Drosophila melanogaster: one gene and its partners. The gene in region 4 interacts genetically with the main gene of each other region. Each region holds a gene or a part of one and is shown on either strand. Other genes may lie near its edges.

Region 1 (6,209 bases), on a different chromosome or scaffold from region 4:
GGAAGCGGCCACGAAAGTGGAATCCGTACACTGAATCGCAATGCGAATGGAAACGGCAATGGAGACCTCAGTCTGATGCAGGATCTGCAGCATAAGTACGCCTTCCTCGAGAATCTCTTCAGCAAGTTCTGGAAGTCTATCATCAAGTCGAATTCCAATCTCAAACTGCAGTTGCGCAATGTCAAGTGGAAGAATGCCAAGGCGAAGCCCGGCTGTGCCTACCAGCCAACGGAGGTGAGTTCTATACATTGTATGTGTACAGTACACCTGACGCCTAAACCACATTTACTCTATCCAAAAAAAAACAGATCGAGCAGGTGGCCAATGTGATTACTCACGGCATTTGGATACTGCCCGCCGTTTTTGCGGCCATCAAGCTGTTTGAACGCTCCTCCAGCGCCAGCCAGTATCTGGTTGCTTGGGTCTACGGCGGAGCCCTGTGCATGCTCTTCACGGTGTCCACCTTCTTCCACTGCTCCTGCTATTGCGCCGAGCACAAGTGAGTGCGCACACAGGCTGATTTAACCATTTGATTTGTACATTTTTGTATACCTCCACTAGACCACCGAAGAATGTCAAGGCCTGGCCCTGTCTCGGCTGGCAGACGTATCAGGGGCTCAAGAACGTGCTCCATCGCTGCGACAGGGCGATGATCTATGTGTTCATCGCCGGATCGTACTTCCCCTGGCTCACGCTAGAGAACACCGATCATTCGGCCATACTCTTCTGCATGGAATGGGTCATCTGGCTGATGGCGGGCATAGGAATTGCCTACCAGCAGGTGGGTTCATTTACAGCACCCGTGTTCACATGCTCCTTAAGGTGAAATTTCCTTTTGTTTGGCGAAAACAGGTCTTCCACGAGCGCTACAAGTGTCTGGAGACGTTCTTCTATCTGGTGATGGGCCTGGGACCCGCTCTAGTCGTTGTGTTCACTGGCCACCACTTCCACGGTATGATGCAGCTCAAGTTCGGCGGCGGCTTCTACATTCTGGGCATTGTATTCTTCAAGGCGGACGGCACGATACCCATGGCCCATGCCATTTGGCATCTGTTTGTGGTGCTGGCCGCCGGATGTCACTATTACGCCATCCTGGTGAATCTATATCCAAGCGAGGGAGCCGCAGCACCGTGAACAAACGAGCGCCACAAAGCAGTTGTGGTAACATGCAGCGAATTTAGAACTTAGAGTACTTAACGACAGGGATTCGATGTTGTCAGCCATGTGTAACGTATTCCTATGATATACCCGATGTACCCGAGTCTCTGCTCCACAATTAGCCAAATTTTAAGCGAGCGAGGACGCCTAGCTTGTAGTCTAGTTGTAGCATTACGAACTAACTAAATCGAAACGATTCTTGTGATCAGTATGTGCGGTCTTGCCAAAGATTCAAATTGTGCGAGTGCTCATCTCTCCCTCTCCCTCTCAACTTTAACTTGATATTATTAGCGATATTCATATATTTAGTATCCATAACGACCCGTTTTGGCCATGTGTTTCTCAAAAGACTTTGAACCGTACTCAAAAGGCAAAGGACACGAATATTAAACTTGTACAAATATCCGAGAGTTAACGACCTGAACCTTTTGAACACTAGAAGCCCGCCTATCCCGCATTGCATTATGCATGTTTATACAGATTATACAGATATATTATATACCCATATATACCCATATACACAAGTAGATAGAATTAAGAGGCCATCCGATCCGCGAGTCCAGCCCCTTCGGCCAGTTTCATCGCCGAGCTCAGGGACAAATCGATGTGTTCGCAGATACTGAAGAAGGTGACTATTTACAAATACGCTTGATATCTTGATATTTTCGGGGCCTGGCTCGCGATCGGCGGATATAGCTTTCGTGTACTACTCGTATTTATGGTGCAGATCGATTAGTTTTAATGGCTCTAATAAATTGTATATTTCCAAATGAAAGCAAAGGGCTCAGATGTTTGTTGCGTGCTCAAATATAATTGTTCGTTTTACAATGTTATGCATGTATCTTGTTTAGCTTATTCATACATCTTGTTTAGCTTTAAATATATGAATATACATATATTCTTTTTTTGGTTGCAAATATATATATATTATTTTATTGAAAATTTTTTTTTGTTTGTGTAGAATTCTAAATATTTAAATGAACGAAATCTAACGGGGCTCAAAAGACATAAAATTGTATCTAATTTTAATTCGTTATTTTCTTTTCTTTAAATGAAAATTTCAAGCTTGATTTGAATTCCCATATTTGAATTTTATGTGACCGTTACGAATCAAGCGAAGGTGTGAAACTTGGCTAAATGGGTTCGTGTATTCGCTAAATGGAGTGAGTCTTAACTAACGCGGTGTAGAAAATGAACAGTGTGACCAGCCGAGTGCCTAGAAAAATAACGAAAACGCGTTTAGCCACCGTAAAGCCACCCAAATAGCTTAAATTGACCGACAACCGCGAAACGTGCACACTGCTTTGTTGTTGCCGAAGAAGGAAAGTCGCGCAGTGAATTTTTTTCTGGTAATTTTTCTTTGCTCCTCCTGACACTCGCCACGTAAATCAAACACACGATCCAAGTGAATAAGTTAAAACGTTTTAAAAATCATGACAAAGAAGCTGTTTTGTGTGCCCCATGCAATCCGTGTAGCTACAGAATAAGTGTGTGAGAAGAAATAAATCCCCATCGAAAAAACAATACACACACAGACACTGCAGCATGTACATATATATGCATATAGATATATATATATACATACATGCACAGGGTTTCTAGCGTGACGTGAAGTGTATATAACGAAGCGAAATTAAAAGAACACGCAAAAAGAGAAAAGTGGAGAGGAAACGATAGTGGAAAACACGCAGACATTGTGAAAATGCGCATAGATCATATCGCAATTGTAGTAGTACAATTACAAAAAAACCAAGCATTTTTGGAGTTTTTCTTTTCTTTTTTCAAGTTATACATGTTATTTTTTTTGCTGTTGGCCTCAAATACATACATATGTACATCTGAATAGAGCGAGTAAAGAGCAGTATACAGATACTCGCTGTTTTTTGTTTCTTATTTTTTGCTGTATACGGTTTTTTGTGAAGTTATTGAGCTGAAAGAAGAGTGCAAAAGCGATTGACGAGCCGAAAACATGTTGTAAAATTCCATTCAGCATTTCCCACCACTACCAACAACAGCAAAGCAAAAGCAAAGCCGTTTTTGCTCGCTCTCCCACTCCTTCTCTCTCTCTCTCCCGTCCACTCGTTGTTACTTCATGTACTAATTTTTTTTTCTGTGCTTGCGGCTTCGTCATTCGCATGTATATACATATGTGTGTGTTGCGCCTACGTGAGAGAGCGTGCGAGTGTGTATATGCCCGCAAACGCATAAACACACGCGCACACACTTGCAAGGCGATTCACGCGCCTGGCTTACACTTTGTTTTTTCTTTTTTTTTTCGTTTCCGTTACAGTTGTGTAGTACATAGCAACATGCAAGCATCGCCCAAAAATCATATGCACATACACATAAACAGTAAGTTGTACATAAAAACAGCAGCGTGTGTGTGAGTGCTTAATTCTTTTTTTCCATTTTAGTCTCTAACTAAATAATAATAACTAAGCCGCTGGGTAAGTGGTTTTGTTCGTATACAAACAGCTTTTTGGGGCAAAGAAACAACAAGAGAAACCCAAGGGCAGTAAGAACATATAACGAAAGGTAGGCGAAAAAGACAACAACACACATGCATACAGTCGCGTCCAGTTGTGAAGGGCCGAAAATTCTGGAATAGATTTCGCTTTACCTGAGTGTTTATCGCGTGTCCCTTTTTCACTTCCTTTAGTTCCGCTGCAAATCGACTACCTACATTTACGCATATCCTGTATACATATTACTTCCTGTTTCACCAACTATGCCACCATGTGTTTCTTGCTGCGCATAAATTGGAGTATTTTGTGATTGCTTTTAATAAGTAGATATGTACCTATTTTTTGGTGGTCGACTGTGGCGACCGCCCTACGTCGACGGCATTGCCAGCTGTTATCATCGAAGGCAACGTGTTTTGGCGTACACTTCACTTACACATGTGTCCCTGGTTAAGATATGACATATTTTGGAGTTTCCCAGAGCTTCTGCAATTAAAATAATTGTAATTTCTTCGTTGAGTGTTTATATAGCTTTAGTTGGCGAAACATTATTTTAAAGATCCTCATTAGCGACACGCGCCTTTCGGTTTATGGCCCTCCCTTTTCCATTGAAGATCAGGGATCCTGGATATTTCCAGGCAGGTAGTGAGCGCAAGGGAAGATGTTCGCTTCGCCCTCCGTTGTTGTCTCTATCGTACGCTCAGCTGCCGTATTTTTTGTTTTTCAAGTTGCAGCTGGCTGGTGGGAGAGGAGTGGAGTGGTGAGGAGAGGGCAGCTGCATTTATTTCCTTTTCTCTTCATCTCCGCTTCTCGGTGGGTCATTCCCCTTCTTGCTGTTGGCAATGACGTCGCATCGCAACGATCGTTCCCTTCGCTTAAAGCGTATTGGAAATATTGGAAATGGCGGTAGCTAGTACTACCCCCACCTCCACCAACACTCTTAATTCACATTTCTGCATTCCATTGAGGTCATTCCCTTGCGCAAATTGCACGTTACACAATTCCCATGAGCGTTGCACCCCGTTTTAAACCTTATTTGGTCTTCAGTTAATAAAAGCTTCCCAACAGTGGTCTCTAGATAATGCAACTACTTAGCGTCGTTATTTAAGAGTATATTTTGTAGCGTTGAATGTTCTTATTTCGATGTTTTTATGGCAGATAATACTGAGTTAAATGAAGTTGAATACGTCCTTGAAAGTATATATGTTTCGGTTCCGCAATGTCAAGTGTTCACTGTACTTTTTAAGCTCGCTCAATGTTTTAAAAAGCATACATGCATACATATGTACATACATGCGCATTTGGATACACTTGAAATAACAACAGTATAATAACAATCCAAGCGGACGATCAGCTGGAATGTTCGATGGATCGTTGATTGTGTCTGGCAATGCCGCTGTGATTTTGTTTCCAGACCGAGATCCATTCATGCATGCGGGTACATGACTCATTTTCCCAGCTGAGCGATTGTTAGATGCACAGATGTGTACATGCATCTTCTATATGTATATATGTATACATTAGCTCATGTACTTAAATGGGCTTTTATCAGCTGTTTAGAACACACATTCACTCAAGCACTGCATAATAGTGCTGCTCTATTTACACAACTGTGCTCCAAATTAGCAGACTACTGTTATCAAACTGTAAAGTTTTTCTCGCATTTTGTTATTGCTTTACAATTCGCTGGCGCTTTCTCCATCTCTTTCCCTCGTACACTGCCGAAAAATGTCTGCTAAATGGTGTCAATGAAATCAATGAAAGCCTGCATTGTTTTTTTTTTATTATTGTTATGTAATATTTTTTTCTGTTGTGTATCATTGCAATATTATTTGCTGCTTTGAATTATTAAACAGCTAAAAAAGTCATATATATTAACATTTTATCGTAATATTTAGAAATAATTTTGAACTATTTGTTTTCAATTTTTTAATATGATACATTGGATATATTATTACCACGCATTGTGATATGCATTTTCCCCAAAAGTTTTGTCCGTGATGGACTTTCTTTTATTTTGGTTTTTGATTTCATGGTGATTTAGCTTTCACCCATCTGCATATGGAAAGTCTATGGGTCTTTGGTACTCTATTACTTATGTTTGAATTTTCTTTCATTTCTGGGCTCTCCCATTTTCGGAATGACCGACCTTCTGGTTACCCTTTTGTATTTTCCCCCCACCTTTTTGCTTTTTCCGTATTCACAGCTTGTGACGCTTTTCGTTTCTCTATTTCCGCATTTTCCGTTTTCACGCTGGAAAGCGAGGTACACACTCTGTTTTATATATTTCTGTACATATTTTCATTTTCCTTCCCCTGGGCTTCTTTCTTTTTTTTCGGCATTTGCTGTATATTGTGTACATGGGAAAAGAGCAGCCCTCGAATTTGATGACCGTACCACCCCATTCCAGCCGGCTTTTATTCTGGTTTTTGTGTTTCTGAGCGACCCAATGCGATTTAGGCCGCCCCACCCACTTGGCCGCCGCCCCCCTTTGCGCCTTCGTTTGGCTGCCCTCGTTTTCTCTGGCTCCTCTTCTTCCCCCTTCTCCGCTGCTCGCATCTCTTTTCGCAGCTTCGTATTTTCCATTTT
Region 2 (7,398 bases), on a different chromosome or scaffold from region 4:
CACCACGCTCTGAAAGACACTGCCCACCAGGCCGAGGTTCTGGAAGTCCATTGTCATGTCCGAGAATGTGATGTCGATCTTGATGCGGTCCGTGGCCAGCTGACCGTCTCGTTCGACGGCCAAGAAGGCGGTTGCCTCGGCATAGACATTCTTCAGGACTACTGTAAAGGGTCCATTGGCTTTCGAAAAGAATGAACTGAGGGTGTACTGGCCCTTGACCAGCATCTGGTCCAGCTGGAGGCCACCGTTGAACTGCAGGACAGAGGAGTGGAAACTTCAAGCCAATTCGAATTCAACTTGAAAACTTACTCTCATTTCCTTCAGGTCTAGGTTCATTTTATCAATGCGGAACTTGGACAAGCCATACGCCTTGACCTGCTTCATGTCCAGATTGGCCATGCCCATGCTCTTCTTCACATTGGGCACCTCCAACGGATCGGGCACGGGCACGCCGGGCAGACCCTGCGGATCCTCCTGCTGAAAGTGCACGAGCATGGCCTCCACCTGGGCGGCTATGCTGGCCTGACTCTCTTTGATCTTAAGTGCGTCATCCGACTCGCTGGCTTCCTGCTCCACAGCTGCTCAAAGGTCATTAATGAGTGGCTTAGTTCCGGTAGAGCTCAGACTGGAATTCGTCTTACCATCGCCAGGCTCCTGGGAGTGAACAATGTGGCAGCCACTTGCCATCAGGCCCACGAGCACGACCACTATCAACGGCTTCATCTTTCGGGGATTAGCTGGAGCTTCTGCTTATCAGTTGGAAAATGGAAGAAAACGCGCCAGCCTCCGTTCTCTACTCGGAACAAACACGCACTGTCGACTGGCGCGTTAATCAAAAGATAATGATGAGCCGCAGGCGGCGATCCGCTTATCTAAGGGCGACTCTGCTCGCGGAGCTGCTGATTAAACTCGGAATTGAGATTGAGTGACTTAAGTGAGCGGAAGCGGCCAGCACATTGTAGGCACTCATGGAACTCACTCCACTCCCAGGAACGATGTTCTAGAAATCATGAACTAGCAGCTTGCATGAGGCAAAGAGTGTTACGGTTCGAAAACGGTTTTGAAACCCAAAGAAAATCGCGCATTTTTCTGTAGTAGCAATGCTCATTTTTATTTGAATATTTTAATAGTTATATGTTCGCATATATAATATGGGTATATATGGCTTACTTGAATTGTTGTTCTTAATCCTAGGTTCACGTGCTCAAAAAAATTCATGCTCAAAAAAAGTCTTAGCCTATTCAAAAAAATGTCTTAGCCTATTAAAAAAAAAGGTTTTTTTTAGCTCACAGCATCCACATTTTGGGCAAAGCAATCTATAATTCGCTGTTCGTTGAACGAAAATAATCTTTAGTTTTGACTAATGCTTTACTCTTAAATAGATTATCTTTGCTGCAGCTGCAGAATTGCTTTAAATAGTTATGTATACGACTTTTGGCTTAATACGTATTAAAAAAAAATTGAGTTTTGGAAACGTTTGCTGGATGATTACAAAAATCAGATTGTAGAATGCTCCTAAAAGATATTTGGGAGTTGATTTGAGTGGAAGTTGTTTGAGTGGGGGAATATATAGCATAACGAAACCACAAGTTAAAAACAAGAGAGAATGCTAAAGTCGAATTTCCCGACTATCAGATACCCGTTACTCAGCTAGTGGAAATACGAACGCGAAATTTCATCATTTTTCTGGGATATCCAAGAGATATTGGGAAATAAAATGAGAAAAAATTTAAAATTGTGGGCGTGGAAGTTTTGGGCGGTAAGTGGGCGTGGCAACATGGGTAAACAACCAAGCGCTGCATCTATGTCTCTAGAATTTATATGCTTAATCTCAACCTTCTAGCTTTTATAGTTCCTGAGATCGAGACATTCATACGGACAGGGCCAGATCGACTCGACTATTGATCCTGATCAAGAATATATATACTTTACATGGTCGGAAACACATCTAGTATACCCTTTTACTCTACGAATAACGGGTATGATAAGAGGATCAAAGACGATACCACGTTATGGATGCAATTCAGTGCTGAATTCGACCATCCATAACGTACATAAAAATTATCTATTAAAGGATTGATACCTGGACATCACTGAGCACATAAAAAAACAAACATATAGGGATGAGTCGTCTTGCTTACAAGTCATCCGAGCCCGACATGATCTCCTCGAACAGTGAATGGGCATTGTCAGTGGCCGATGATCTGTCGCCAGCGGCAGAATTGCTCCTGGATCCGCCACTGACAAGCTCATCCACCGTGTCGAGGGCCGAGAAGTTGGCCCTTCCTCGGCGTGTTCGACTGGTCCTGAATTTCTTGGCCGGTGGCTCGATGACTTCCCTGTCAGGAGCAGGAGGCGGTGGTGGCGAAAGTGATGGAGCTGGTGGATTCGGCGGGTCAATTGTTGGCATTATATAAGCATACTGGGGAAGGGAACCGAAGCCATCGGTGTGCTGCAGCTGGACACGAATAGTGAAGCCAACGGTGACCGGATCAAGGGGCTTGCTGCCCTGGAAGATATTGAAGCCTGCAATTGGAACAGGGTTAGATAGGTCTAACACAGCGATGAGGTAACTTACCCTGGTACTCGCCTTTCTCATTCTGAACAAGCACCAAAGGATGCTGGGATTGCTGCAAATTATTTAGCGGCACTAGGCTTATGGGGGCAGAAGAGTCTGGCGGCGCCATACTGTTCTCCTCCTGCCTAGGCTCAGCTACCACCGGCTCCTCCGACTGAGTCATCGGCTCTGGAACGTCCTTCGGCATTTCGAAATCCTCCAAATCATCGTCCTCATCACTTTCAACGTAGTCCTCCTTGTGCGGATTCTTGCAGCACACGCAATGACACCCGGCACAGCTGTTGTAACTCTTGTAGCAAGGACATCGGGAATTCCGGCAGGTGGTGAGGGTATTGCTCGAGCCGGAGATACCGCAGCGGCACTTCGGCTTCGGAGGCTTCACCTTTTCCTCCTTGTCCTTGCCCCGAATCCTGCGAAGAGCGCCCTTTCCAGATTGCACTTTAGTCTTGACCTCAGACGGTACAGGCTCAATTTTGGCAGCTTGTGACGCTTTGAGAGTACGGGTTCTCTTTCGCTTAAGTGTTGGCTCGTCACTGTCCTCCTTCTGCAGCTCAGCACTGATTGCGTGCAGGTCCTTCTCCTTCTCCTTCGCCTCTTCAGCCGCTGCCTTTGCGTCCTCAAAATCTTTCTGCAACGACTCCGCATCCTGCAATTCTGTTTGCACATGACCCAATTGTGTTTTTGTGGCAACATGCTCCTCCACTGCTTCCTCCATTTCGGTTTGTGTAGGTGACTGTGAAGTGTGCACATCCAAGTGTTGATCCTCCTCCATGTGCTCAGCTACAACCTCTGACGGGATTGAGGTCCCTTCGGCCTCTTCAACGGTCTCTTCAACCAGAGCCTCATCAGATTCCTCAACTTGCAGATTAGCCAATTGATCAGAGATTTCGTTGGGTTCCTCAGCGGAGGTAAGCACTTCTAGCTGCGTGGATGTTTCAACGGTCTCTTCAACGGTGGTGGAGAGCACAGTCAACTGTGTGGACGTCTCGACGGTCTCCTCAACGGCAGCCAGCACAGCCAACTGAGTGGAGTCCGCCATTTGCACCACCTGGCCGATTTGCAGTTCCTGTGGATCGAACTTCGTGGTCGCAGAAGTGGGCATCACGTAGGAGACAGCAAAGTTGTTGCCGCTATTTGTGTATTTGGACACCGAAACCGTGCCAGACAGGTCTACCTGATCCGTCCACGCTTGGTCCATGAAGCCCGACTCCGAGCTCTCGGTGGCAATGACTATTTGCCCGGCGTGAGAGAGCATGCCCATGCGAGATCCTGTGGGCAGCAGGGGAAGCGGCGAGAAGTGACCCTGCTCCGCTGTGGCCGCCGCCTCCGCCTCAATGTCGCTGATGTTGAGGTGGTGATCATAGGGCAGTTCCGGAGTCGTGACCGCCGACGTAGGCGGCGTCTCTGCGGGCAGCGATGTGGGCATGTCCTTGAGGAACGGCAAATCCGGCTGGGGCAGAAAGATGTCAAAAGTGTCGGAGATGTTTGAGCCCTCGCGAATGAACTCCTGTGTGGTTTTGGGAGGCAGCTTGATGCGAGGCACCAGCTCCCTGGCCACCTGGGGCCGCATCCCGGCCAGCTCACCAAATAATGCCGAGTGGAGCAGGTGGACGCACAGCGTCTTGTAGCACAGTAGCTGGGCGGCCATCATACGGTTCTCCTCGTAGGTCTTGAAGTCGGAGCAACCCTCGCACTGGGTGCAGCTGGGAAACAGATGCTTCTTACCGCGCAGACACAGCCGGCACACGTTGTGCTGGCACCGCTTGCCCTTGGGCGAGTAGGGATCCACCAGCAGCTGGCAGCAGACCACGCAAGACAGCAGCTGCCGTAGCTCGCCGAGCCCGGAGTTCAGCTCCTCCACCCGCCGTTTGGAAAGATTCGAAGCGGAGCGCATCGCGATGCGTGTCACCTTCAAGTATGCCGTCTGGGCCATGATGGCTATATTTTTATGCCCGGGACTGTACGCACGCCGCTGTTTGTTTACGTTTTTCAGCCCAAAAGTGAGACTCCGCTGGCCAAGTAAGTGCCTTGTCGGTCCGACCCACGCCACCTGCTCCGCTACCTGGTGCCTCCTGGGCTAGTTACCTGCAATTCCTCGCCCGTAGGAGCTCAGTTACACATGCTTAGACCGCGTTAATCCTCGATTTCATTATCTAATGGTAACTTTACTGGAACGCTTTTTGTTGGTTTCACTTTTGTGGCTTCGTTATCACTATGTTTCACGTGCAAAAAAAAAAAAAAAATTGGTTTACGTTTGAGAGGTCTCAAGTCATTGTTAATGGTTATGCTGCACACTGTGCAACAGCGTTGAAAACAATAAATTAGCAACTAAAAAAAAAAATTACCCAAGCAATATTTTGCTGAGCGAAGCCAGTGTGACCGCAGTGTGCCAGTGCGAACATGCTAGCTGCAGTGCGGCATAGGTGTGACCACTACCTCGAACAGCTGATTTCAGTGCTCTGAGGAATTTTCGCAGTTACGAACTGCGGTCCTACAACAAATTTTAACACTTAGTTTTTCAAGTAAATATGGTTTTTTAAGTATTTTCCGTCAAAGGAAAGCGGAAAACCTTGGAAATTATTTACTAACAGCTCTTCCGCTTACGCCAGGTGGTAGGAGAGCCAGAAAATGCCGGAACCGCGCAGTCCGATGGCCAGTTTTGCCGAGTCGGTGCTGAATGTCATCGATGGACCCATAACTTGGTTCCGTGGTATGTAGTCCACAGGGATTCCCAATGGCCATGGTCATGGGAGTCTCCAGATGCTGCAAGTTTGCGTTTCCTTTGGCCAACGATCGGAAAAACCGGACAAATTCCAGACAATTACATAATGACATAACCTCAACTCGCAGTCCATTTGTTTTTGTTTACACTGTATTGCTGAAATGCTAAAATGTTTATAATCAACCGTTTTAAGTAATTTCTAGCTAGCGCAAACTAAATCTCTTAGAATACTAGTCGGCAGCCCTTAAATGCCGTCCGTTACTATATAGTTCATCTAGTCAAAGCGGGATCATGTTTTTCAACAGAAATGCATTACAGCTAGTATATTTTATTAATGCGCCTTGTGTTAATCCCACAGAGAGCATTGTGGAGCCGAACCAGCAGAAGCAGAATTGGTACCACCAGCGCTTCCGCCGCGTTCCGACGATCGACCAGTGCTACACGGACGATGCCGTCTGCCGTTTCGAGGCCGATCAGCAGTTCCGCCGGGATCGCATGGTCGACAACGAGATTGTCAACATTCTGCGCCAGCGCTTCGAGGACTGCACCCTCTACGAGGCACCCGATCACATGGTCAAGTGCAGGCCGCTGATGGATCAGTACGAGAAGGCCACCGAGAACTGGTTCATCAAGTGTGAGTGGAATCCCTTACCCATCTTCTTTAAAGTTGTATGTGATATATAACGAGATATAACCCATTATAGATGGCGACTTGGGAGGCTACGCCAATGCCAAGACCGCGTACATGAAGCAGAAGCATCGTCTGATCTGGGAGCGTCGTCATGGACCAGTGGGCAGTGGCATGAAGGAGGAGGCCGCCCATTAAACTCCGCTTTTATGATGATGTTTTCTAGTTTCATTATCCGTTAAAACAAAATATACACGCCGTAAAACGATATTCCCAAGGATTGAGCTTTCTTTCAATTGTTTCAGTGTAAATTATAAGGTAAGAGCTACTAGGAATTATTTATTACTACAGCAGTTTCAATTCATTTGTCTATTAGTTGCATTTATTCTTAGTCATGTTTTTCTTAAAATAAATATTAATATTGGCGTTTGATATAGAATTTTGGCTATAGACTAGCTTAAAACTAATAGTTCTCAAGATTAAGAGCCTTGGTTAAGTTGTTCCAGTGAGTAAAATAAAGTTTTTGCCTGCGTACTGCAATAAGTTTACAGAATATAGTGATAAATCATAAAACTCACACTGTAATTCTTCAGACTTTTTCGAAAATTTAGACAATTTCAAAAAGAGTTCCATAATTTCTCATTTTTTAAAAAAAGGAATGCACAGTCCATAAATCATTTGCTTTTCTTAAAAAAAGAAAAAATTACACTTTTAGAAATAGATACCAATAGATAGGCAATAGTGAAATTTGTTCAAGCTTTCTAGAATTACGCTATCTTAGATTACTTTCGAGCTCAGCTAATCGAGACCAGCGGCTTGTTGATGAGACTCTTTTTGAGCTTAGCCAGAGCGCTATTTGCGGCCTTGTCTCCTGGCTTCTTGTCCTTGTTTTTGGGACCCAATGGTATCATGGTTGTGTCCATTAGCTTGCGTCTGAATCCCTTGTAGAACTGCAGCACGTGTGGATTGGCCCACACTTGCTTGGCGTCAAAGTCCAGGATGCGAATGGACTGCAGGGATTTCGCACGGGATAAGGCCACATAGGCCTGTCCAGCCTCAAATACTTTGGAAAGGGACATCTCCACGCAGTCGAGGGTTAGTCCCTGACTCTTGTGTATGGAAAATGCCCAGGCTAACTTCAGTGGCACTTGGCGTCGTGTTATATGGTTTCCTGAGGCGGTCTTTATTATCCACCTTTCGTGCTTGCAAACGTATTCCTGGTTGTTTTTGAACCTTACCACTGGCAGATCCTTCTCCATTCTTACAACGACGCCTCGAGCTCCGTTCACCAGTCCATTGGATATGTTTATATTCTTGAGTAGCATTACTTGGGCGTTAACTTTTAGGTACAACTGAGATGGAGCCTGGATCTGTTGATCCAGTGTCCTGGTCATGCTGGCATCGGAGTCGTCAGCCTTGAATAAAATCTTGTCGCCATCGAGGTTTTCCAGCTTGGACTCGTTAATGGAG
Region 3 (8,957 bases), about 17 Mb from region 4:
CTAAGAGAAGCCTGCAGAAGGCTCACATTGCGACCGCTGGCCAGCGGCTGAATGTTCTCTTTCGCATTGTCAAAGTCCATATCGTTCTCCTCAAGCAAATGACCTGAAACTTTTGGTTGTCTTGTATCGGTTAAACAAAAACTACGCGCCGAAGCAAATGCTAGAGATGAATGATACTACGCTCTTTCGATATTTTTAATTGTGTCGTATCGATACTTCGATTGAAAAACTGTTCTCACTGAAGCCGAAATACATACGATAAAAATTGAATTGCTTAGCAACACAACGTCATCACTGACCACCACTTTTAATTGGTAACGAAGCTCACCATCTTGACCAGTAAAAAAGAAGCGTAAGAACAGCTTACTCCAGTTACTATTACATTTCTGGTGCTCCTCAAATCTTTGTGATCTAATATTTATTTGATCAACTTTCATTATTGCTTCGAAAATTATGATATTTTAAAATCACCGCCATATCTGTACAATAATTAATTTTTCTTTTCCCTTCGAGTTTTGATAAGGCACGAAATATGTTTTGCATATATATGGCTTTTTATTGTATATATTGTTGTCATGACATATGTTTTAAAAAGGTCTAATTGCGAAATCAGTAATCGTCTAAAATGCTAGCAGAGATAAAAAATAATGATTACACAGGTTCACCAAAAGCCTTTATAGAATGAATGTTTTTGATCTCATTTTGTGACAATAAACGATTTCCACGCCTTCACAAACGAAATTCCAGCAATATATGTATGTATGCAACAGGTTAGGGAATGTCAGCGGAACTATCATATTTGGTTACTATTTACATACGTTAACTCGTGAATCTATTCGGATCGCACATGCGTATTTAATGCCAAAAAACCAAAAGATTCAATGCGTCTTATTTGTATAATCCCTTCAGCATATCGAAATGCGAATAGTAATGTTTATTATTCTTTTTGTTTTTGAAAAAACCAATACATTTTTTTTATGTATCCGTTAAAAGTTACCCCAGCGGCCGCCTTGGTCGCCATTTCTAAAGCCGCCGCCTGATCCTCTATTGCTTTCAAATGAGTCTCCAAATCCACCTCTCTTGTTCCCATATCCTCCGCCATTGTTTCCATATCCTCCACCATTATTTCTATAACCTCCGCCATTATTTCCATATCCACCATTATTTCCATAACCTCCTGCATTATTTCCATATCCTCCTCCAATATTTCCATATCCTCCTCCATTATTTCCATATCCTCCTCCATTATTTCCATATCCTCCTCCAAAAGTTCTGCCGTTTCCACGGCGACCAAAGCTGCTGTTAGTAAAGCGTCCTGTCTCAAAGCGACCTCGTTTGGGCGGTCCTCCGCCGTCACTGAACTGACGTGATTGGTGCGGCAGAATTCCTGATTCACGCTGCAGTCCGAAGTCTCCGGCGCTCTTAACGCAAAGGTCTTTGACCACTTTGACCAGCTGTGCATAGGGCTCCTCAAGGCGAAGTATGTCGGAAGGGTTGTCGCACGCCACCGTGATAAGATCCTCCAGGGCCGGCTTAAGGGCACCAATCTTGGCCGCAAGTTCCGGCTCTATGTCGAAGTTAAGCCAGTTGTCAACGCGCACTATATTGTTGGCGGCCAAGTCAATCTTGCGCGATCCAAACAATATCACCTGCAAGGGCGAGACCATAGATAGTTGCTTGCAGGAAACAGCTCGCGTGCGAATCTTCTCGCCGAAAACGAAGAACGGATACGGAAATGTGACGGCCAAGTTGCTGCAATTCACCGAGGTTTTGTGCAGTAACGCTGCTTTAGACTCTGTAGTCAGCACTTTGCGCTTCTCCTTGTGCACGCAAATGTTGGGGTAGAGACCCAAGCACAGCAGCGCCAGGGACACATCCAGCACGGGGTCATCCCCATCAATCCTTTCGTCTACCTCGTGCGATATCATACACTCTTCTGGGAATCCTGCCTGCTGAAGGAGATCCAGTAACTGCTGCTTGGCATCCCAGATAACGTTCATAGTACTCATTTGCAGTCCTTTCCAGTCACAGAACCGAGCTTCCATATGCTCACCGCGTTGTTTCTCGCGCCGCCACATTTGTGAAGCTACAATCATTGCCACGTGGTCGGAACATTTGGTACCACTCAACGCTTTCTGATGATTTGCCAGGCGACGTTGACCTATATCAAGACTAAACACCTCTGAGAAGGTGCTAGAGTACGAAGCCATAATGGCCATTAGATCGGCGCAGCCAAATACTGCGCCGAGGACCATCATCTTTCCAAGTCTTGGTTCAATTGGGAGGCGTGCCAGCAGGCGCCCCAATGGAGTAAGTTCATCGTTAGCGTCAAGGCAGCGCATCTCGCGAAGCAACACCTCAGCTTCGATTACTGCGTCTACCGGAGGTGGCTCCAATGCCTTTGACAAAAAGTGGTGAATGGAGCCCAGTCTGAGTAATTTAATGGTCAACGCCATCTCGTGCAACGGTGTGCGGAACATCTCCGGCGTAAGATTGTCCTCTAGCGCTTGGAAGCGGGCACGCGAACAGAGTGTGAAGCAGAAGCCTGGTCGGACACGTCCAGCTCGGCCCTTGCGCTGCTCCAAATTGGTTTTGCTTGCCCAAACGGTGGCGTAGCTGGTTAGGTTGTTATGTGAAGTAAAGAGCTTCATGCGCGCCTTACATATATCAATTACGAAAACAATGTCGTCAATAGTTATAGAAGTCTCTGCAATGTTGGTAGAAAGTATAATCTTGGTTACGCCTTCTGGAACAGGCTCGAAAACCTTGCGTTGCTCGTCTCGTGGAATCTGCGAGTGGCACGGCAAAATTTGGTATTGGGATGTATCACCAAAAATGTTTGTATTTTGCAGAAACTTCATAAGCGCAAAGATCAGGTTCCAACCGGGCAGGAATACTAAGATAGCACCGGGAATATTTTTTGACTTAATATGCATCAATAATGCCTCCAGCAGCTCAAAGCTAACGTCCGATTCGGATAGCATGGCCATAGCATTTCGAGTCTTTTGTGAATACTTGTCCTCGCACACCTTGTTATAGTTGATTTCCGCCTCGTCCTTGTCCTCGGAAAGCAATTGCTCCTCGTCCTCCACTTCCTTGCGCTTTCGGCGCGACTCCGCCGAAGGCACAAAGTCTGTCATCTGAATAATGTCCTCCAAGAAAAATTGCTGCACGGGAAATGCTCTTCCGGGTACTTCCAATACGGGACAGATGCCAAAATATTTGGAAAATTTCGTTGTATCAATAGTGGCCGACATAAGAATAACTGCAATAGAAGAGTTTCTATTAATTATAGTGTTTTCTAAAAGTCATATCATATTAAATTAGGACTAGAAATGTATGACCCGTAATGCATATAAGTTTTAAGTTCTGAATAGTAATTTTGTTGGGCATAAGTAATTTTGGCAAGTCAACTCTACATTAAATATGAAACACAAACAATTGGCAATGCAAATTTTCAATGGAACAAACTGACAAATCGACTATTAAGAACATAACATATACACTCTGGGCGGATCCGGTACAAACAATATAATCATAATCTTCATTAATTAAGCCAGTGAATTAGTGCAAAATAAGTTATTTTCGCGGCTCAAAATCTGCTCAACATTGCTTTTTATACATGTAAATGTATGTATATATACAATACATATATACAAATGTATGTATATATAAATATATAAGTATAATCAACAATTGTCGAAGAGTTTCACCCCAAGAAATTTGAATGCAGGTTATACATACGGATTTATGTTAGAAATATTGCACCTTATTCGAGCTTACCATGCAGGTCCGGATATGTGTCGACCATGTCGCGAAGGATGACCAGCAAAAAGTCGCTGTTCACGTCTCTCTCGTGGATTTCGTCCACAATAATATGCGACACTCCTCGTAAGCCAGCCTCCAGCTTGCGCAGCAACACACCCACGGTGCAAAAGAGGATTGCGCCGTAGGGTCGTGGAAACACAGACTCAAATCGCACCGAGTAGCCTACAGTGTCGCCCAATTGCTCGCACCGCTCGCGAGCTACGCGCTCGGCCACAGAAATGGCTGAAATGCGACGAGGCTGGGTCACATAAATATTAGCGTACCCGCCCTGGCCGGAGCAGATGTAGTCATCAAGAATGTATTGGGCAATCTGGGTAGTCTTTCCGCACCCTGTGTTTCCACGAATGATTACCACTGGATTGTCATTAATTGCGGTTAAAATTTCCGACCGCATCGCTGCAATGGGCAGCTTTTCGCGGAACTCGAGGAATTGTCGGTACTCGTTGTCGTTTTGGCGGCGATCACGCAGCGAGCGTTCGTAGTCCATCGAAAGGTCATCAATAGAGGTGGTTGCCAGTTCGCCTTCGTCGATGTTGCAGGCATGCCACGTATTCCAGTTTGCCTGAGGAGGAGCCCACGGAATCACGGAGCTTTCCTGACGTTTTTCGCCATCCTGTTGCGAGGAATCTATACGGCTTAAGTTCACCTAGGAGAAAATATTTTACATCGTACACTACATTTTTTGTTCGCAAAAAAAAGGTGGTTTGGGTAGGGCAGCGTATTCCTATGCTCATATAGTAAGGGTATGAATGTAAGAGATAACAGAAATAATCTTGTTCAAGATCACTAGCCAAGTCTATCACAACAAAAGCTTGAAAGTTAAGATTAAAGACGCAGATTTTAGTTATGCTAACGTAGCGTAAAACCTTCTTTGAAATATCTTTTGAACACAGAATTGGATTAGGTCGATTATGGTGTCTGTCGACGCGTATTGAGAGCTATATATAGAAAAAATACAAATGTTACAGCCAAGTATGCAGTACAAATTAATCGAGTTAAAGTATTTGCATTGTTGTTTCGGCATATCAAATATTTTTGAGGGACTGAACGATGTGGGAGTTACTAGCGTATTCCTAAGTATATGACTTACGTAAATCAATATAATAATATATACTTTATAAAGTACTGTTGGATGTCATCAAGAATATTGAAACCGGTATACAACATTTAGCTAATAGTCTTTGTCTGATAAAATCTCTAAACTGTTTTTTAATACTCTGAGATAAGAAATTTAATTCAAATTGCTGATACATTTTTATTTTAGTTTTCTAGTTTCGTATTACTTACAATGAGAGGAATCGGAGGACCGTCCAGTTCGATTTTGATATTGCGCGGGTTTACGACAGGAAGGTCCAAACCCTTAATCACCTCATCAATTTTGTTTATCAGATTTGGCGAAAGCTTCACCGGATATGGCTTCAGCTGCTCATCCTTTTTTTTCTTCAGAGTTCCACTAAAGGGCTCTATCACATTTAAATGGAAAAGTTGGCGCACCAGGGACAGGGCGCATGACTTGCTGGCAGACTTCTTGTTTGAACCCGACTCACGGGCCGTCACCGTGCGATTGAGCGCCGGCACATAAATGGACAATTCGGCCAAAAAGCTCCTACATTAAAAGAACTTTTTGAAAAAATCTGGACTGGTAATGTAGATCAAATCCGGAACTTACCCTCGGGCTATCGTGGGAGTCTACGGACTGCTGAAGGAGCCAGCCGACAGAACGGCGTGGTACTAATGTGTTAGACGCAGCTGGAAAGTCAGCGCTTGAATTATTGTCAGCTAAGCCGCGTTGCATGGGCGTCCGTTTTGCTTACAGACCCCACGCAAGGAAGCTGGACGTGGTTCTTGTAGTTCGGAGTATCGTACCACATCGTTCTGCCGGCGCTGCTCTGCACAAATCAAATTGGTCACAGCCCGACATGATTATGGGCTGCATTTCAGATTTGGCCGTAGGCCATATTCGGTCAAATCCGAAATGCAGGCCGAAGAAAGTTGAAAAGGAAGCACATACCTAGCGTGTTCCGGGCCCACTGGTGTATATTTGTAATCGTCGCGAATGTTGTTCGTCTGCTTGTAAATGTTCAGTCGCTCTTTGGCATTCTCTATGGTCCAGTTACCGTGGATGGCAGCGTTGACATCGAAAGCCTCCGCTTCGTTCATGTCCCTCTGCTCCTGGATGCGATCAATTACTGAGTAGCGGTTACCGCCGTCACCGCCATCGTGGTTTAGAGGGCGATAGGCCTCACCCAGATCCTGTGGACCCGACTGACCATCAAACACTCGCTTCTGCTGTCCACTGCCCCCTGCCATGCCCGCACCCTCCAGACCAGTCCTAGGTCCGCCCCCCGAAGCACCAGCATCCGCTGGAACATCATTGGTGTTCAGTTTGCCCACGCGCACTAGGTAGTTGACAAAATCACGGCACGCATTTTTCTCGGCATCCTTTTTGTTAGTGGAATTACCCACACCAATATAGGTATTTGGCTCTACACGAACCTCGCAAAGGAACCGCTGGCGATTTTTGGGACCTATAAATTAAACTGCTACTTGGGAAACACGCCTGGGGGAGTGCAACATAACCACTTACCCGTTTGGCGAATATCAAACTTTGGTTCTATTTGCGACTTAGCACAAAATTGGTACAAAAAAGATTTTATATCCATTCTTAGATTTTCAATAAACTTTCTATCAACTACGGAGCTCAAATTAAATTTATTTCTTTTGTGATGTCTATTCTGATATCGATTAATTTTTTTGTTGCTTTACAAAACACTAACGCGTCTTGAATCGCCTATCAAAATAGGAACGGATAAAATAGAACAGTGTGTGTAGATATAAAAACATTTAATGTAATTTAATCTAAAATAAAAGAAACCTATAGAGAGACTTAGACATATTTGTATATATTGCACTATAAATAAACAGACAAATTTCTTATATATATACTTTTATTTATTTATTTAAATATAACGTAGAGTATAAAATTTTAAGGTAACTGAAACCTAGATGCATTAGCAGCTAGCACCTTCCATTTTATATTTTTTAAATTAGGTTGGAGCTTTTTAAAAAGTTTCTAATTGTGTTGATGTCAACTGTTCTATGTGGCGAAAGGGAAGAACAGTATGCTAGGATGGGATTAACGTCTAACTGGTTGCAAAGAGCGCATATAAATACATATACATATATATGGGGGACCTGTTCTTGTAATGGTCATTTGTAAGGTTGATGTGATCAAGCCTGAGACTGTTAATAAGAAATATCGTTTTCCTGTTGTGTGATGTGGTGTTGTTGAAAGGAGTTTGATGTGGTATGTTGAAGGATGAGCTTGTATCAGGGAGTTATGTTGTAATGCAGTTCTGTTTGTTTTGAATTGACGTATATGCCTATGTGCCGAGAAGTCTTTTATGTATAAGTAATAAATGAAATATTGCAAAACAAAAGAAACGGAATTCCAATTCAAATTGGTAGACGAATTTTGAGCCGTTTTTTGCGTAAGATGTGTAGGACAGAATATTATCGAATAATTGATATCATATGACTATGTTATGCCCTTCAATCCGTCAAGAAAGATTCCTCATATCATAGCAGGTCTTAGAATCCTTAAATAATTTACGCTAATTTACGATGAAAAAAATAATAATCAGCATAAATAATCATATATTAAATAGTCATTTCTGGCACCAAGAAGACCACTAAACTTGACCAGCGACACGACCATTGATTTCTGTTCAAATAAAAATATCCAAGCTGTTGAAATAAATTAGTATTTTAAAGATGATGACTGAAATTCAGTATTATAGTATATTTGCCCCAGTCTTTTGGTATTTCTCGAGTCCGCGTACTGGTCACACAGCTTTTTGCAACGCGATGGGAAAAAGAGGACGATATTTGAGTTAAAATGTGAATACGGATGCCAGCCCAACTAAATAATAGTGCAATCGCGAGTCACCCATTTAATCGCCTAGTTTGAATTCTTTTTTGCGGCCCCAACGCCGGTACACAGCTGGATTTTTGTTGGTTGCCAGCAGTCCAGCATCACGCACACCCACACGAGCAAATGTAGATAAAAGTGAGAAAACACTCACGCACGCACACACACAGGCACACGTTTGGTCGTGGGCAAGCATTTAATTTCGTTAGTGCCCAGTAAAACAGAGTTGAGCGAAAAGGCGATAGCAACTTGCACAAATTGTAAGCAGTGCAGAGAGTCAGTGAAGAGGGGATCGAGTGAGAGCGGCGTTTAGTGCCAACACCCAAGCGCTGATCTCGCAGCTACAAACAATAAACAAACAGTGAAAGTAACAGTAAACGCAAGCGCTGCAATTTGGCTTCCATTGATTGCATTTAGTACTCAGTCTCGGCGGCAGCACAACTACTCATCCAACAATGGGTAACTGCCTCACCACACAGAAGGGCGAACCCGACAAGCCCGCAGATCGAATCAAGCTGGACGACCCGCCCACCATCGGAGTCGGAGTGGGCGTGCCACAAATCCCCATGCCCTCACACGCCGGACAGCCACCGGAGCAGATACGTCCGGTTCCCCAGATCCCGGAGAGCGAAACGGCAGGTGCCAACGCCAAGATTTTTGTCGCCCTCTACGACTACGACGCCCGCACCGACGAGGATTTGAGCTTCCGCAAGGGAGAGCACTTGGAGATACTGAATGACACGCAGGTGAGTTTTGCTACGTTCACACGCACGCCTTATTCGCGAACAAAAAAGTTGGCGTTTCCTTATTTGTAATTAAAAACTCAAAAAATATCGTGCACACAAAAGAGAATTAAACTTATTTTCCAAATATATGAATTTGTATTGAAAATCAGTTTTGGACAGATATAGAATGTTCATTCGATAAAGATATTATTTATTTTGTTAGACTAAATATGACTATGCAACTTTAAAATAAAAACAAATTAGACAAGAGTGTAGTTGGTCGAATTTTGTCCTGGCAGCGTTTTGAACTTTTACTTTATGTACTATTTTGGCTAACGAATTTTTAATCGATATAGCAGAGGTAAAATTCAAATTATTAGCTTTTTCTGTGCGGTTGAGCGTCGGACATCCTAATTAGCTAAGATGAAATAAAAAAATAACTCTCCGGTGTGTCCCATAATTCGGTTATTAAA
Region 4 (9,024 bases):
AGCTGCAACTCCTGCTGCAGATCGCTCAGCGGACTCATGGGCTCAATTACGACATCATCTCGCCACGATAGCATTTCATCAAGTATCTGCCGAATATTTGGCAGGGGCTTTGGTTCGGGAAAGCATGTGCCCACATCGTGGTGCTTGATGAAGGAGGCTGTAGTGGTTCCCCGGGTGGTGGTGGTGTTCTTGTGTTGCGTGGCCTGGTTGCGCGTCTCTATCAGACCTTCCACTTGCACAGCAACAGAGCAAAGCGCGGGCTTGGGATCAGCGGGTTCCTCGTCGGTTTGCGTAGATTGGTTGACTCCGGGCTGATGGGCTTTCCGTTTGCTACGTGAATTCGGGCTCTTTGGCGTGGGCACGCTTACGTCTATAGTCTTGCAGTGCTCCCTTAGCTTCTTCATGATGTTCTGATCCCGCCGCAAAAGTCCACAATCGTCGCCCAGCCGCTGGGAGAACTGCATGAGTATGGACAGCACATCCTTGGCTTCCACGGGTAGTCCCCGCACTTGCAGCTGCTCCTGCAGATTCTCGCAGTTCCCAACCTGTACGTCCAGCTCCTTTTCCAGCTGTCCGCATCGCTCGCCGATCTGCTTGGTGCGCTTCTCCAGCTCGATCCTCTGTTGCTTCTCCTTCTGGTACAGATCCGTCACCTCTTGGGCGGTGCGCTGCAGGTCGGCCAGCTGTTTGTTTTGAGCCTGCAGCTGTTTCACCTGGCGGATCAGCTCGTCGTTCTGGGCTATTCGCTCGGCCAGCCGGCTTCGCTTGGCGTACACATCTTGGTTGCTCCTGGGCAGCGACACCTGCTTATACGGCGCCACCAGAGCATCTTGCAGCGGTGCGCTTGGGCCCAGAAGCTGATCTATATTGAAGTCGGAGAACTCGTCCAAATTCATGTTGCGCAGACTTGTTGTTGCTGGATTTCACGTGGTTGCGTGTTCAAGCGCCACTGCGGTTCTAGAACTTGCAGAAAACAAGGAGAATCCTCATTTTCCACACAATTCGCTAGTCGGTCACGAGTTGGACAATATTAAGCTGCGCATCTGGCGATTTAATACACAAAACAGAGAAATAAAACAAAATCCGCGTTTTTCTCTGCAGCCGGTCTCCAAAACATTTCCCTTATCGACAACCCAGCACGAGCCTATCGATATATATGGTATGGGACTATTTTATGGAACTCTTATAGGTCGTTCTCACTACTTCGTTTTTGATAGTTCACACTTTATTTATAATAAGAGGTTCGAATTATAGTTTGATAATATTGTAGAGGAAGTAAATTTTGAATTACTGATAATAACTAAATTTACATGATTTGCGTGCGTCCATTGAAGGGAAACAAATGTACTCTGAATCAGTGCGATTCCCTGCGTTAGGTTTAAGCCTATGGTTTTTAGGGCTATTTTACAATCTTTTAGAAAACATTGAGAGCATCATTACCAAAAATGGGGAATATTGAGAAAAAATCCAATTCATTTCTAGACATGAGCCAATTGTGACGTTAAAATTTGATGCATTGTTTTGCGCAAGCTACTAGACTGAGACAATTTTTGTTTAGTTTTTAAAGATGTATTCAACATATTCTAAAGCATACCCTCTTGAATACCCCTACCAATTGTAGTAGAGCAATTGATGATATCGATCACTTATCGTCTTAAGTTCCATCCCTAGCAGTTGCGGAAAATAAATAAAACTTCCGGACTGTAGAAGATTTTACTGAAAAAGACTCGATTTAAGCACACAACATGGCCGACGTAGACGACGGGTCCGAGCTGCTGTTCTTCGACACTTTCTCGCATGAGGAAGTGACGGTAAGTGCCTCCAGAAGCCCCCACTCGGTGCATTCGCTGAACCCCACTTCCTCCTCTCCTCATAGGACATCAATTTGGATTTGGTGCAGTTTCCCAAGCCGGTCTTCATCACACAGGTGCGGATCATTCCTCTCGGCGCCCGAGTCCAGGCAGACTTTCCCGGCGGCGTTCGCCTGGGCGCCACCAACCCCTCCAAGTTCGACCTGGAGTTCTTCGTCAATGACCTGGGAATGCCGGCTGCGTCGGCATTCGAGAACCTCGGCCTGCTGCGTTACAACCAGAACGACTGCATTCACTTGGATTGCTCGCAGGAGAAGATCGTCACCGACGGTCTGGTGCTGCGCGGCTGGTACAGCACCATCACACTGGCCATCTACGGCATTTTCACCAACTCGGTGACCGAGCCAATCGCCAGTCCAACGCTGCCCTGCGAGCCCGTGGGCCCGGAGATAGCCAACCTGAGTGGCGAGGTGCTCCTCCAGGAGGATGTGCTGAAAGACGAGTGGCAGGAGCCGATGCAGGCCGAACTGCTGACCGCTCACAAAGGAAATGTCAGCGATTACGATCCGGAGGACATGGAGTATGGAATGTCGCGGGATCATTACCACCAGCATGCCGAGGAGCAGGAGCAGCGAGAGATGCGACGACTGCGTCGGTCCACGCATTCCACGGATCACTCACCGCCACCGCCCAGAAGATCGCACACGCATTCGGAGAGCAACGACAGGGAGTACATCAGGTGGTAAGTGGTTATCTGTTTTATTTATTATATTCAGACTTATCACAGACCTTTCATTGCAGTTCCCGCGACAAGGGCTCCAGGGATTGGTCGCGTTCACCGGAGTATTCCAGCCATCGGTCACGTCGCAAGCGCTCCGAGAGATCTCGCTCCGTTGTGGACGAGCACAAGTGGCCCAGAACCCCGCCCGCGTCGATAGACTCACCGACACGTCCGCGTTCGCCAGACACGATGGACTACGAGGACGAGGACTCGCGCTCCCACTACAAGATGCAGTCATCTCACTACCGGCACTCCTCCGAGTCGCTGCACCGTGGTGAACGGGATCGGGACGATGAGGACCGATCGTGCACGCCGCAAGAGCAGTTTGAGCCCATTCTCAGTGACGACGAGATCATCGGCGACGACGAGGAGGACGACGCAGTGGATGCGGCTGCCATTGCGGAGTACGAGCGGGAGTTGGAGGCTGCTGCTGCCGCTGCTCCTCCGGCCATCGATGCTTTCGAGCCGTGGCAGAAGCCACTGTTGGTCTTTGAAGGGGACATGGCAGCCCACTTCTGCAAGGAGCTGGAAACTCTGAAGCTGCTCTTTAAGAAGCTGGTCCTGCAAACCCGCTGTGAGAATGTTAATGCCTTCAGCGAGGAACATGGCGCTAGTGTGGACGAAAGGGAGCAATTTGTGTACTTGGGTGAACAACTGAACAACCAATTGGGTTACCTAGCCCAGCACTACAAGCGGAGGAACTTTGTCCTGCAGCAGTTCTTCGGAAACGATGAGCTACATCTGCGACAGGCGGCTAACGTGCTGCAGATTGCCCTGAGTTTCCAGGCGGCATGCATGCAACCACAGCCAGCTTTTAAGATCCGCCACATCAAGCTGGGTGCGCGAATGGCTGAACTTCTGGGCAGTAGCGAAGAGCTCTTCCAGCACTTGTTGAAAGAGCACAAATTCGATATCTTTGAGGCGGTGTTCCGGCTGTACCACGAACCGTACATGGCTCTGTCCATCAAGCTTCAGCTCCTCAAGGCCGTCTACGCCCTGCTGGACACCAGGATGGGTATCGAACACTTTATGGGAGCGAAGAACAACGGCTATCAGATGATTGTTGAAGCCATCAAGACAGCCAAGCTGACCAGGACGAAGTACGCACTGCAGGCGATTATAAAGAAGCTGCATTTGTGGGAAGGCCTGGAGAGTGTACAGATCTGGTGCCGTCGTCTCTTCGTGGACCGAATAATCATACCTGGTAATCGCGATCAAATGGAGGACACAGTGATAACTTGCCAGCAGATAGAGTTTGCCTTCGAGATGCTGATGGATGCACTGTTCTCCAGCCAGTTGAGCTACTTGCAGCCGCGTCGCTTTCTGCCCGTGTCCAAGAAATTCGAGGTGGTGACCGATCCCACGGCGCAGCGCAGTTTCGGAAATGCCCTGCAGTCCTACTTGGGACAGAACTCACTGGCGGAATCCCTGCTGGTCATGTTGGCAAACTGCAAGGAGTTGCCGGCCACGACGTATCTAAGCATGCTAGACTTGATGCACACCCTTTTGCGCTCGCATGTCGGCATTGATTACTTCGTGGATGATGCTTTTCCTGTAACGCAGACGATTGTGGCCATACTGCTGGGCCTGGACGAGGTTCCTCGAAACCCGGAGGAAAAAGAGGAGAAGGCAGAGAAGTCGGATGCAGAGGACAAGGCAATGGAGGTCGAAAATGAAGCTGTGGAAGCTGGAGGCGAGAAGCCAACTCCACCGACGGCCGACGAGGAGGGGAAGCCAGTTGCGGCCCCGATTTCCGTTCCAGCTCCAGCTGCTGCTCCTCAAGTGCGACCCAGGCCGATCCTGCGCCCAGTACTGCCACGCCTGGCCAGGTTGGGCATCGAAATGTCGTACAAGGTGCAGACGCGTTACCACCTGGACGCCATTGCTTACGCTGCCGCGGCTCCCGAATACGATGCCGTCAAGTTGGCCACGCATATGCATGCCATTTACTCGCAAACCTGCGATCCGGCTGGGCGGCAGCACACCGTGGAGGTGCTGGGCTTGAATAACAATCTTAAGATCTTCATGGATCTGATCAAGAAGGAGCAGCGTCTGCAGACGCAACGCCAGCTGAGTTCGCCGGGCACGAAGTACAAGAGTCCGGTATTGAGCTATGCCGTGGACATGGTGGACGCCTGCGTCCGCTACTGCGAGCAGTTGGACTACCTTATCGAGCACGGAGGTGTGATCCTGGAGCTGGCCAAGAACCACGAGACCTTCGAGCCCTCGGTGTCGGCCGTCCTGCAGGAGATGTACGTGTACATGAAACCCTTAGAGGCCATCAATGTGTTCGTATACGATGACATTATGCCGCTGGTGGAGGTGATAGGACGCTCCCTGGATTACCTAACCACTTTTCCCGGAGATCTGATAATGGCCATGCGGATTTTGCGCTATCTCTCCATAAGCAAGCCGCTGGCAGGTCAGAAAGCTCCTCCAGTGACCGAGGAGCTCAAACATAGGTTCGTGGCCCTGCAGCTGTACGCGGCGGATGGTGTCCAACTTTGCATCCAGATCATGGAGCGACTATGCGCCTACTTCGAGCAGCCGGGTGCGCACGCTCCCGCCCTGATGACCATCCAGGGAGTGCATTGCTGCCAGATCATGCTGCCAACGCTACAGATCCTCCGCGAGCTGCTCTCCTACGCGATTCTGTGCAGAGACGGCACCTACAAGGACCTCACAGCCATCGATCACCTGGTGAAAGTGTACTACCTGCTCTACTACTTCCCCACGCGCTGCCAGGCGGGACCCGAGGTGGAGCAGTGCAAGATGGAGGTGGTCCAGACCCTGCTCGCCTACACCCAGCCGAACGAACAAGACGAGGAGTCGCTGCACAAGTCCCTTTGGACCCTGATGATCAGAGAGGTGCTTAAGAATGTCGATGGTCCCGCGCACTTCATTCCTGGTAAGCTAGACTTTGCAAGAGATCTGATCCATCTAATGATTCCTTCCGTACAGGACTGAAACTTTTGGCGGAGCTGCTTCCACTGCCGCTGCCTATGCCCCAGCCGCTATGCGACCAGTTGCAGCAGCAGCACAAGCAGCGTCTGATTACCGAGCGGAAACTGTGGTCCGCCCACTTGCATCCCCAGAGCGGTCAGATCGCCAAGCTGGTGGAGGCACTGGCTCCGTCCAGTTTTCCGCAGCTGTCCGAACTACTGCAGCGAGTGTGCATGCAACTGTCCGACCTGGCGCCCAACATGACGCTGCTGATCGCCAAGACGATCACGGAACTGCTGTGCAATGAGTACCAGACATCCAACTGTATTCCGACCACCAACCTGGAACGGCTGCTTCGTTTCTCCACTCGCTTGTGCGCTTTTGCCCCTTTGAAGAGCTCCATGCTGTCCATACTCTCCGGAAAGTTCTGGGAACTCTTCCAGTCGCTGCTGGCACTGAACGAGTTTAACGACGTGGTTTCCAACTGCCAGGAGGCCGTTCACCGCATTCTGGACAGTTTCCTAGACTCGGGCATTTCGCTGATTTCGCACAAGAGCACGGCTTCGCCCGCTTTGAATCTGGCTGCCGCACTGCCACCCAAGGAGCTCATTCCGCGAATCATCGATGCGGTCTTCAGTAACCTGACAAGCGTGGAGGTCACGCATGGCATATCGATTCTAGCGGTGCGCAATCTGGTCATCCTCACGGAGCACGAGTAAGTTCTGAATATCACTCGCACGCTTTTAATATTAATATTATCTATACCGCCAGCTTCACTTTCTACCATCTGGCGCAGTTGTTGAAGCAAAAGATCACCGAGTTCCAGGCGTGGATGGAGCGCGTGATCCTTCACAACGAAACGGTGGAGTACAATGCCAACATCGAATCTCTGATCCTGCTGCTGCGCTCTCTGACCCAAATAGAACCGCCGCCCGCCATGTCGGCCATGCCACACCGCACTCTGAAACTGGGCGCCACAGAGTTGGCTCAGCTGGTTGAGTTCCAGGACATTGAGCTGGCCAAGCCACCGGTGCTGAGCCGCATTCTCACCGTCATGGAGAAGCATAAGGCAGTGGCCAATGAGGCGGCGCTGAGCGACCTCAAGCAGCTGATCCTGCTGCAGGCCTCTAAGCAGGAGATTCTCGCCGGAACCAGTACGGAGACGCCACCAGAGGCGGAGGGCGAAGCCAATCCATCTGCCAGCAGCTGCAGTGCATCTCTGACCGTGGAGCCCTATCTGCCACAGGCCGAGGGCATTGTCACACAGTACGAGGCGCGTCCGATCTTCACGCGATTCTGCGCCACCGCCGAGAATGCCCAACTAACGGCGCGCTACTGGCTGGACCCGCTGCCCATCGAACTGATCGAGGACATGAACGAGCCGATCTACGAGCGCATTGCCTGCGATCTCACGGATTTGGCCAACGTGTGCCTCAATCCGGACTTGAATGTGGCTGGCGATAGCAAGCGGGTCATGAACTTATCCGGCTCGCCCCAATCCAATCGGGAGATGACGCCCACGGCGCCTTGTTTCCGCACGCGCCGTGTGGAAGTTGAGCCCGCGACTGGTCGACCCGAAAAGAAGATGTTTGTGTCGTCGGTAAGGGGTCGTGGTTTTGCTCGGCCACCACCTTCCAGGGGCGATTTGTTCCGCTCCCGGCCGCCCAACACCTCGCGACCGCCATCGCTGCACGTGGACGACTTCCTGGCCTTGGAAACTTGTGGCGCCCAGCCCACAGGACCCACCGGCTACAACAAGATACCCTCAATGCTGAGAGGCTCCCGGGTGGGTCGCAACCGAGGATCTCGAATCTCGGCAGCAGCTGCCTTTAGGTAAAGTGTCACGATTACCACTTAGCAGGATAACGCTAATGGGCTCTTTTTACTCTTTTAACAGGCAAAAGAAGATGATGCGCATTGGTTCGCCCTCCAGCTGGGCAGAGTCCCCCGGATCGTATCGGTCTGCCTCGGACTCCCACTTCAGTAGCAGCGACTCGCACTATTCGTCGCCCCACTACAGTGGACGGCCGCGTGGACGAGGCCTGCGTTCCAGGCCATCCTACCTGAGATAGGAGGACATTGCAGCCCAACCCGCTTCTCACTGACACTTCCCGTAAACTCGGCAAACGAACCAGAACTAGATCCTAAGATGCCCGCTGGGCAGCTGAATTCCAATACTTAATAGTGTGTGTTGCTTTCGTATTAGTTCGCTTTACTTCCCACTTTGTATGTAAGCCAAAAGTTAGTTTTCCGTAATTACACTGTGCAAACGGACGTCGTGCGACTCCATGGGCAACTCCTCGTTGCTGACTATCTGCTCGTTGAGCGACAGTGCCATCAGCGAGATCTTCTTGTGCGGATACTTCTCCGCGTGCTGCTTGAGGAACTTGTCGTAGTAGCCCATGCCATGGCCCATCCGAGCTCCGCAGCGGGTGAAGGCCACACCGGGCACAATGAAGAGATCGATGCCGTGCCCTGTGGTGATCGAGTGTGTGTGTGTGGGTTTAGAAGGAGCTCTGATGTATGCCTAGCCACTCACCGTTGGTCATGGCATCCTCGCGTGCCTCCTTGAAGTCCGGCTGCTTTATGTTCCACTTGGTCAGAGGCAGGCTCTCGTACTCCTCCATGCCGCGCAGCCGCACCATCTTCATCCTGCTGCCCTCGTAGGTGGGCACAAAGACCATCTTCTCCAGGCGGAACATCTCCGACAGCAGCGCCGTGGTGTCCAGCTCCGAGGCTGTGCTCAGGTAAATGCTCACCCGCTGCGCCTGCCGGAAGATCTCGCTTTGCAGCACCTGTGCGATCGAGCCGATTAGGGGGATTGGGAATTAACTTGATAACCTTGGGGCCCAGCCAAACCAATGTTACCTTAGCCGTGACGGCCTGCGACTGCCGGGCGATGGCCTCCGCGTCGATGCCCTTCAGTGCATCCTTCATGCGCTTTCGCAGCGCCACCTTCAGGGTGTTCTGGATCGTGGCCGCCATTCCTGCCGCTGGATCATCTACTGCACACTCGAGCGAACCGGTGCGAACTGTTTCCATCTGCCTGCGCGGTCCATGCGTCTTTAGGTCGCCACTCCGCCGCCCGTTATCAGCTGCGCTTACACTGACGCTTATCTGTCGGCTGTTCCGCTTTGCAGCGCTGTTCGTAAACAAATGGAAGTGGAGCGGTCTGGGGAAAGTTTAGGCTTGCAGTTTGGGTGAGCCGCGGGGCGATCAGCTGATCAGGGATGGGAGTTATCCAATACACAACCAGTTGTAAATTAAACAAAATATATTTGGAGTACCATTCCCATTAAATACAATTCAGACAATCCAGCCTAACCATAGTTAAGCTAGTGGAGTTCAAAGCTCCTGGTTGGGCTCACTTCTTGGGAGCCTCTGGTGCCTTAGGCTCCGTCTTGGTCTTCAGGTTCTTCAGTTGCTCCTTTTGCTGCAGGGAAACATGGAATCTTTACCTCGTGTACAGTCTGGTGTAGTAGAAAGAGC

Evidence for each region.
Region 1: of vir (region 4) and Sxl, changing one suppresses a phenotype caused by changing the other (phenotypic suppression), as found in Drosophila melanogaster (2 studies listed by BioGRID).
Region 2: of vir (region 4) and msl-2, changing one suppresses a phenotype caused by changing the other (phenotypic suppression), as found in Drosophila melanogaster (one study listed by BioGRID).
Region 3: of vir (region 4) and mle, changing one suppresses a phenotype caused by changing the other (phenotypic suppression), as found in Drosophila melanogaster (one study listed by BioGRID).

Annotation. Positions count from the first base shown.
Region 1 is NC_004354.4:7,094,299-7,100,507, reverse strand, and holds the start of Sxl (Sex lethal), read left to right. Parts: upstream 1-2,454; 5' UTR 2,455-2,507; exon of another isoform or gene 2,508-2,563; intron 2,564-2,739; exon of another isoform or gene 2,740-2,884; intron 2,885-3,441; exon of another isoform or gene 3,442-3,510; intron 3,511-3,572; exon of another isoform or gene 3,573-3,693; intron 3,694-6,023; exon of another isoform or gene 6,024-6,209. Other genes in the region: CG4615 (uncharacterized protein), read left to right, coding at 1-234, 309-499, 562-781, 853-1,134. UniProt on the Drosophila melanogaster protein: Sex determination switch protein, which controls sexual development and dosage compensation in females. Sxl protein is only active in females: it is inactive in males throughout development.
Region 2 is NT_033779.5:3,461,129-3,468,526, forward strand, and holds msl-2 (male-specific lethal 2), read right to left. Parts: upstream 4,985-7,398; 5' UTR 4,924-4,984; exon of another isoform or gene 4,791-4,923; 5' UTR 4,512-4,790; coding exon 2,579-4,511; intron 2,527-2,578; coding exon 2,138-2,526; 3' UTR 1,090-2,137; downstream 1-1,089. Other genes in the region: CG3246 (uncharacterized protein), read right to left, coding at 1-252, 310-578, 642-723; ND-PDSW (NADH dehydrogenase (ubiquinone) PDSW subunit), read left to right, coding at 5,207-5,288, 5,659-5,934, 6,005-6,126; Pif1 DNA helicase, read right to left, coding at 6,723-7,398. UniProt on the Drosophila melanogaster protein: Limiting component of the male-specific lethal (MSL) histone acetyltransferase complex, a multiprotein complex essential for elevating transcription of the single X chromosome in the male (X chromosome dosage compensation).
Region 3 is NT_033778.4:5,974,204-5,983,160, forward strand, and holds mle (maleless), read right to left. Parts: upstream 6,576-8,957; 5' UTR 6,492-6,575; coding exon 6,416-6,491; intron 6,357-6,415; coding exon 5,840-6,356; exon of another isoform or gene 5,498-5,839; intron 5,435-5,497; coding exon 5,116-5,434; intron 4,475-5,115; coding exon 3,784-4,474; intron 3,266-3,783; coding exon 987-3,265; 3' UTR 891-986; downstream 1-890. Other genes in the region: BubR1 (Bub1-related kinase), read right to left, coding at 1-80. UniProt on the Drosophila melanogaster protein: RNA helicase component of the male-specific lethal (MSL) histone acetyltransferase complex, a multiprotein complex essential for elevating transcription of the single X chromosome in the male (X chromosome dosage compensation).
Region 4 is NT_033778.4:23,358,976-23,367,999, reverse strand, and holds vir (virilizer), read left to right. Parts: upstream 1-1,644; 5' UTR 1,645-1,745; coding exon 1,746-1,811; intron 1,812-1,876; coding exon 1,877-2,553; intron 2,554-2,612; coding exon 2,613-5,500; intron 5,501-5,553; coding exon 5,554-6,250; intron 6,251-6,306; coding exon 6,307-7,368; intron 7,369-7,432; coding exon 7,433-7,607; 3' UTR 7,608-7,777; downstream 7,778-9,024. Other genes in the region: Ice1 (uncharacterized protein), read right to left, coding at 1-896; Mthfs (methenyltetrahydrofolate synthetase), read right to left, coding at 7,778-8,010, 8,075-8,330, 8,404-8,520; CG34423 (uncharacterized protein), read right to left, coding at 8,900-8,968. UniProt on the Drosophila melanogaster protein: Associated component of the WMM complex, a complex that mediates N6-methyladenosine (m6A) methylation of mRNAs, a modification that plays a role in the efficiency of mRNA splicing and is required for sex determination.